Linked DNA regions of Ovis aries. The protein of the gene in region 1 binds, or shares a complex with, the protein of each later gene. Links are inferred from orthologs where the notes say so. Each region holds a gene or a part of one and is shown on either strand. Other genes may lie near its edges. The genes, in order: EDAR and EDA.

The links.
Region 2: the proteins of EDAR (region 1) and EDA are in contact, whole or in part, in a crystal structure (PDB 7X9G), measured with the Homo sapiens proteins. The link is inferred for Ovis aries from reciprocal best matches to the Homo sapiens genes EDAR and EDA. Residues at the interface, in NP_071731.1 of Homo sapiens: Glu55, Pro56, Tyr57, Leu58, Lys78, Ile86, Arg88, Arg89, His90, Asp92, Glu94, Gly95, Phe97, Val134; in NP_001390.1 of Homo sapiens: Gln256, Ser258, Ala259, Gln261, Asp265, Asp273, Arg289, Tyr310, Tyr311, Lys340, Thr341, Tyr343, Ser370.

What each region holds. Positions count from the first base shown.
Region 1 is NC_056056.1:62,139,035-62,142,268, reverse strand, and holds part of EDAR (tumor necrosis factor receptor superfamily member EDAR), read left to right. Parts: intron 1-949; coding exon 950-1,036; intron 1,037-2,287; coding exon 2,288-2,416; intron 2,417-2,496; coding exon 2,497-2,571; intron 2,572-2,682; coding exon 2,683-2,755; intron 2,756-3,234. UniProt on the Homo sapiens protein: Receptor for EDA isoform A1, but not for EDA isoform A2. Mediates the activation of NF-kappa-B and JNK. May promote caspase-independent cell death.
Region 2 is NC_056080.1:62,926,796-62,930,608, forward strand, and holds part of EDA (ectodysplasin-A), read left to right. Parts: intron 1-1,292; coding exon 1,293-1,472; intron 1,473-3,340; coding exon 3,341-3,375; intron 3,376-3,813. UniProt on the Homo sapiens protein: Cytokine which is involved in epithelial-mesenchymal signaling during morphogenesis of ectodermal organs. Functions as a ligand activating the DEATH-domain containing receptors EDAR and EDA2R. May also play a role in cell adhesion.

The DNA.
Region 1 (3,234 bases):
CCACGGGGCACTGCCCAGGTCCAGGTCCCACAAGGCAGGGAGGGCCGGCCTTGGATGTGGGGCTCACTGTCCCCACTCAGGCAAACCTGTGGCACCAATGTCCCCAGACCCAGAGAGAAAAGCAAGACAGGAGGAAACATGAGAACAAGACCTCATGTGCCAGGTTGCTTCGGTCATGCCGGACTCTTCACAACCCCATGGATGGTAAACAAAACGAGATCCTCCCTACTAACCCCAAACCTCAAGTCCTGCCTAAGAAAGGCCCACCATCGGGCAACTTGATAGGACAGCCTGCCTGTGGCTCAGCTGACCACAGAACCAGATTCCGAATCACCCTTGCTGGGAGATGCCTCTTACGTTGGAGCGGAGTTTATGAATCACAGTTAAGGGAAGGTTAAAACCTCATTTCTGTTCTAACACCATTTGGTCACAGCTATTTTGGAAACTTGTCAAAGGAAAATCCTGGAGAAAAATCCATCAAAATGTCAACTCTAGACCTCAAGACTGTGGGTGAACCTTTTGCTTCTCTCATGTTCTGATGTTTTCTCAATGTTTGATCATGTTCAGTTCAGTTCAGTCGCTCAGTCATGAGTGTGTATTAAAAGTATTAACAGTCCATCCCTGTTTAATTAATGGAAGGAACCACTCTGGTGTTCCCCCAAACTCACATGCACACCTGCCCCTCACCTGCTCATGGGGACCAAGTCTGAATCTTGGATGGAGCAGGTGTGACTCCGCGTGTCCAGTGTAAGGAGCAAGGGCCTGGTGAGGTCAGAGGCTCTCGGGGATGAAGGTACCGCCGGCCCAGCCCTTTCCTCATGAGGATCTTCCTCACGAGGACTCTGGACCCCTGGGGCCGGGCTCCCCCTGCAGGCTGTGCTCCATCTCCAAGGCTGGGGCAATGGGGGTCTCTTGAGGGACCCACGATCGGTCACTGCTGTCCCTGCAGGTGTGGGAGCCGCCTCGGGAGTTTCTGCCAACTTCCCCCGCACACCTGGCAGCAGCACCCTGTCCCCACCGCAGCTCGCTCACAAAGGTAAGGGGGGCACAGGTGCCAGCCCCAGCGGGAGATGAGGATAAGGGGAGACAGGCAACTAGCAGGACAGGACCTCCCACCTCCCTCACTTCCCTCACGTGACAACCACACTGGGAGTTAGTGATTTCTCTGTAAGAGGGAACCAGTCCCTCCACGGATGTTGGGGTCATGGGGGGCACATTGGTGATCCGGGCACATGAGGTAGGGGCCGGAGGGAGGTCAGCCCCCTGGGCTTTGGGCCTGACTCAGATGAGCCTTGGTGGCTTTAAGTAAACCTGCTGACCTCACATTTTACTCACCCCTAAGTCCTCAGGGGTGGGGCTGCAGGGCCCTGGCCTCACTTTCTCTTGGAGCAAAACTGGGTGCTGGGCCCTCCCTCACAGTGCTCCCACTCTGCCTGGCTTGAAAGCACCTTCGGGCCGAGATCTCAGGCTCAGGCACCTTCAGAGTCCCAGGGCACAGCCTGCCAGCTGGACCCCTGCCCGCACCCATGGGGAGCATCAGGGCAGGGCCTCCACTGAGGTCCTAGACTCACTTCCTCCAGGACAGAGGTGGCACCCCACAGACGGGCACCAGGCCCACTCAGACCTGCTTCCAGACACACCCCACCTGGGTAGGGGGGATGCGTGCCCACTGCCCACTCGAAGCGGGGAGACTTCCTTGAGGTCCAGACACCTGGACGGGGTCCCTTCCATCCAGGTAGGGGGCTGGATCCTGCTCGGTTCTCTCAGAGAATCAGGACAGGTCTCCCTTCCTGGGGAGATGTGGGCAGGGCGCTGAGCAGGGGAAGCAAGGGGTGGGCCCTGTGCTGCCTCAGCTGGTGGGCCCTGGCCGCACAGAGCCCAAGGCTGCATGAGGTGTTGGGACCAGCCCAAGAGCCTGCCCTTGGAGGCGATGCTTCTACCCAGCCTTTGTGGGGAAAAGTCTTGGGCTAAACTGTCTTCAGGACAGTTTAGCTCATGGGCTCCCTCCCTCCAGTCCACTTGCTGGGTCCCCAAAGAAACAGAACTGATGGCAGACACCCCGGGAGCAACCGCGGGGTCTGCCGCTGCTGACCAGCATGGGGCCGGACTGGTGGTCCCGATGTGATGGCCAGAGCAGGTGTATAGGGCTCAGTGCTCGGGTGAAGCCAGCGTTTGAAATTCCAGTGGTCTGCTGGAGGGCTTGGTGGCAGGGCCGCTGCTCACCGTGCCACAGCCTTGCAGGGCAGGGGCCTGATCCCTGAGTCCTGGCCTTCTCTCCCGACTGCAGCAGAGCTCTCAGGCCAAGGACACCTGGCCACCGCCCTGGTCATTGCCATGTCCACCATCTTCACCTTGGCCGTCGCCATCGTCCTCATCATCATGTTCTACATCCTGAAGGCCAGGCCGTCTGCCCCCGGTACCGCTCCGCCCCCCACACCCCTCACCAGCCCCCTCTCCCTGATGCCGGCTGGCCACTCATGCCCCCTGTCCCCTCAGCCTGCTGCCCCAGCACCCCCGTGAAGAGCCCAGAAGCCCCCGTGAGCGAGGAAGAGGAGAAGAAAGAGGCCCAAGGTAGGCAGCAGCCTCTGAAGCCCACAGTAGGAGGTGGGGGGCTGGAGCACGGCCCCCCCAGCCCCTAAGGAGGCCGGCCCCTGATGCCCCCTCCCACCCCCACCCCCACAGACAACGTGGTGATCTTCTCCGAGAAGGACGAATTCGAGAAGCTGACAGCGGCTCCAGCCAAATCGGCTAAGAGGTGAGTCAGGGAGGCAGCCCGGCTTAACTGGGGGCGGGGGGTCTTTGGGGTGCGAGCAGGAAGAGCAGCTGGGCCTGTGGGGGCCACAGGGTGGGGCGGTGGCCCAGGGTCCTCAGTGCCTGCGCCCCTGCCTGCTCTCCCCTGGGGCCGGGAACCGCTGGCTGTTGGCTCCATGTCTCGATCTCCAGCGGGCACAGGGTGGGGCTTGGTCTCTGTCACCCAGTCACCAGCACATACGGTCCTTTGTTCTTAAATAAGTCTTCAGCCAAACCACAGGATGCAAGCAGAATGCCTATAAGGTTGTTTTCCATCTGTGTGGGATGATTCTGGGGGCATGACTAGGGCCATGGCCCTGGGCGAGGGACAGGGTGTGACTGGAGCCCACCTCCTGTGGGGTATCCCGAGCCCCTCTCCTCCTCAAAGAGGCTCCCCCTCACCCTGGGCGTCTGCCAGACCTGGTGCTGCTGGGAGCCCATCTG
Region 2 (3,813 bases), on another chromosome or scaffold:
GTGAAAAGACAGGGAAGTGAGGAAGCAGCCGCCCTCCTGTGACCACCTGCAGTTCTTGAATTGGACTGCACAGAGGAGAGGAGGTAAACAGGAAGGACTGGAGCTTTCAGTTCAAGGCCACAGTTAGAACCTGGTTAACATAGTTCTGGTGGGAATATGGGAAGGACTGGAATGTGGAATAGAAGGCTGAGACTGCTCTGAAAAGAGAGCAAGGAGGAAATGGGGAGGATCTGGTGGCTTGATTAATAAATACATTCAAGAATAGGGCCTCTGAGGAAAGAAGACTCTGGGAAGCTAGATTATTTAGCCTATAAAAATAGAAGTTGATAGGTGACTTAATGTCCTTGAGCACATTAGGGTTATTGTCTGTATGATGGCAACTATTCTTTTCTACCTATACAAACAATAGTATAAGAGCTTAAACTTCCACAGGAGGAATTTCAGTTCAATATACAGAAGAGCTTCCTAACAGTGAGGGGGTGATAAACATTGGAACATGTTACCAAGGGATTCTGCAGAATTTCCTTTCCCAGAGCTCTTTAAAAGTAGAGTTTAGAGAGGTGAGCTGAGAAAGCAAAACCTGCCTGCTGCTTCCTCCACAGCTCAGCTCCCTCTGGTCTCCACTACCCCTTCTTTCCTTATGTTACTTGAGCCTTCTCTCTCGCTCTTTCTCTCCTCCCTCCCCCAACCACCTCTCATCTTCCCAGACTCCTTCCAATTCTACTTTCCAGCCTCATCCTAGCTCAAGTCCCTGTACATCCTGACTCCTAGAGGAAGCCTTCCTGGAGCTGATAGTCATCCTAAGGTCAAGCTGGCCTCCGAGCTTGCTAGCCTCATCCACATCAAGCCCACCAACCTGGATAGTAAACATGAGAGCCACGCTCTGCAACAGTAGCCCAGTTCTCAATTGTAAAAAGTGGCCCACTTTTTAAGGTCTACCCACTTGGTGATTCTGATCCTTTGGACTTGGCCAAACGGTAACCTCCTTTTTTAAGCTTCCTGACCTCTCCAGCATTTTGTCCCTACAATTAATGCAACATTTCTACTGTCCTGTGACTGTGTCTGTTTCCACACAAGACCAAATTCCTTGAGGGTCATTATTTCTTCAAACCCAGCCTGTAAATGCTGATTCATGAAACAAAGTGTGTGTGTGTGATGTGTGATAACAGTATACACCTCTTTAAGAGCAGGAACTCCCGGAGGGCCAACTTTGTGTCATGAGAAAGCTGTGGAACTCCCGACAGTACACTCAGTCAGTAATTATAAATGTGATACCGAATCTCATCTTTCAGGAAAGAAGGCAGGACCTCCTGGACCCAATGGCCCCCCAGGACCTCCAGGACCTCCAGGACCCCAAGGACCCCCAGGGATTCCAGGGATTCCTGGGATTCCAGGAACAACTGTTATGGGACCACCCGGCCCTCCAGGTCCTCCTGGTCCTCAAGGACCCCCTGGCCTCCAAGGACCTTCTGGTGAGTTCCTCCATCTCTCCACCATCCTAGGTTCCTTAAAAGTTCTCTAATAGAACAGGAGCAGGTGATCCCAAGAGCAGTTTAAAATAACAGTATGTGGTCTCCTTGCTCAGTGGAGAGCTAGGAATTGGACAAGCCAGTAGAACCTGCCCTGCTCTAACTTCTTATTTATGGGGCTTCCCAGGAGGTGCTAGTGGTAAAGAATCTGCCTGCCAATGCAGATGTAAGAGACACTGGTTTGATTCCTGGGTCAGGAAGATTCCCTGGAAGAGGGCATGGCAACCCACTCCAGTATTCTTGCCTGGAGAATCCCATGGATAGAGGAGCCTGGTGGGCTACAGTCCTTAGGGTCGCAAAAAGTCAGACACGACTGATGGTGTGTGGTCTCCTAGCTCAGTGGAGAGCTAGGAATTGAACAAGTCAGTAGGGCCTGCCTTGCTCTAACTTCATATTTATACCAACCTGTCAAGGAAGAGATACCTGTTCTTGACCTGTGGATTTTGTCTCCCGATTTCCAGCATCTAGCCTCACATACTGATGTTTGATTAGAAAAAGGCAAAGGGTAGGAATGGGCTTCCCTAGTGGCTCCCAGGTAAAGAACTCATCTGCCAATGCAGGAGATGCAGGTTCGATCTCTGGCCCAGGAAGATCCCCTAGAGATGGAAATGGTAACCCACTCCAGTATTCTTGCCTGGGAAATCCCATGGACAGAGGAGCCCAGTGGGCTACAGTCCATGGGGTCACAAAGAGTCAGACACGACTTAGTGACTAAACAATAACAACAACATGGAGAGGAAAGTTCGGGGCTGGACAGAATGACAAGCCCTAGAGTAGTCTCATCCCCTGAACTCTGAAGTGCCTTTCCCATAGAGCTAGACCAGTAGTCACTGATAATCAAGGAGTTGGAAACTTATGAGTCACTCAGGCTGTGGAAGAAGCAGACACAGGCACCAAGACCAGTCTGTTGAGGAATCAAGTGCTTACTGTGCTACATCCTTCCCCTACCACGTTGCCCATTTGAATAGCATTTAACCTCTTTGCATCTTTCCCCTTGGGCCCAGAAGGCCATCCCAAAGGCACAGATGCAGATCCAAACCTGCCTAGTCAGAGTTGACAGGGGTCAGACTGCCGGGGCTTAGGTCAGCTGCTGTTTCCTTCTCCTGCTCCCCTCATCTTGGGGCTTTTACAGAAATGGACTCTTCACAGCTGATTTCTCTGGGTCCAAGAATACTGCCACAAGACTCATATTCTTTGACTGGTAGTTCAAACAGAGCTAATCAGTGTCATTGTGGCCCCAAGAAATGCAGTTTGGAATTTTTTTTCATCCCATCTTTCTACAAATATTCATTGCATACTTTCTATGTGCAAGAGATATATTGACTGGTGGAATTTATGTCGTACAGGAGAATGACAATTAAAGAAGCAAGATGTGTACAAATGGCAATGCATTCTACAGAGAAAATTAATAGAAAGAGAACAAAAGGCTAAAGAAGCAAGTACCATTGTCTTGGGGTCCCACGGTGGCAGGAATGCACTCTCCTCTGTCACCACGGGTGCTCAGTGGCACTTGCCTTGGGCCATTGTTGACGAGGGGCCAGTTTCCTGCTGGGTGCTGGGCGCATTGAAGATGCAGGTCAGGGACAAGTCAGAGAAGAAAGGGGTGTCATCTCCCACTCCAGAGCCCCGCACCCTGACTCCCTCCAGCTCTGAGTTGTGGAAAATAAGGCTCAGTTGATGCTTGGCAAAAGGCTCAGACTGAGCCTGGCTTGGCTCAGACAGGGAGCAAAAGCTCAGTGCCATTGGCTGCCTAGATGAAGAGAAGCAAGTAGACAGAGCATGCCCTCTGACTGGCCTGTCCTATTTTGCAGGTGCTGCTGATAAAGCTGGAACTCGAGAAAACCAGGTTGGCTGGGAATTGCTGTCTTGCTGGGAAGAAGGGAAGGCCACCCTTGAGTTTGCTCCCTGCTAAGTTTGCTGAGGCTTTCTTTTGTGAGGAGACCCTGGAGGTTCTGGGGGCTTTTCATTCACAGCCCCCTCCCATGAATAGAAAAACTTTGCCCTAGGGCCTGCTTTTAGCAAGAGAACTGAGCTGTGGCTATTTTTCCCCATTCCCTAGGAGACAGAGGGTCACCACAGCCAAGCCCAATAGTCAGCTGACATGAGCTGGCAGTGAGGTCTATTCACCTGGTCCTGGGCCTCCCCAACTACACCAGACACCTTGTCGGCATTCCAACCACCTGATGTCAGCAGCTTAGAAGTTTAAGAATATGTTCTTGAAAATCAGCCAACCAGTTCCAGGTCAAGCCCAGCCTGGCCTTCTGCCTTCACAGCCTGAAGGGCT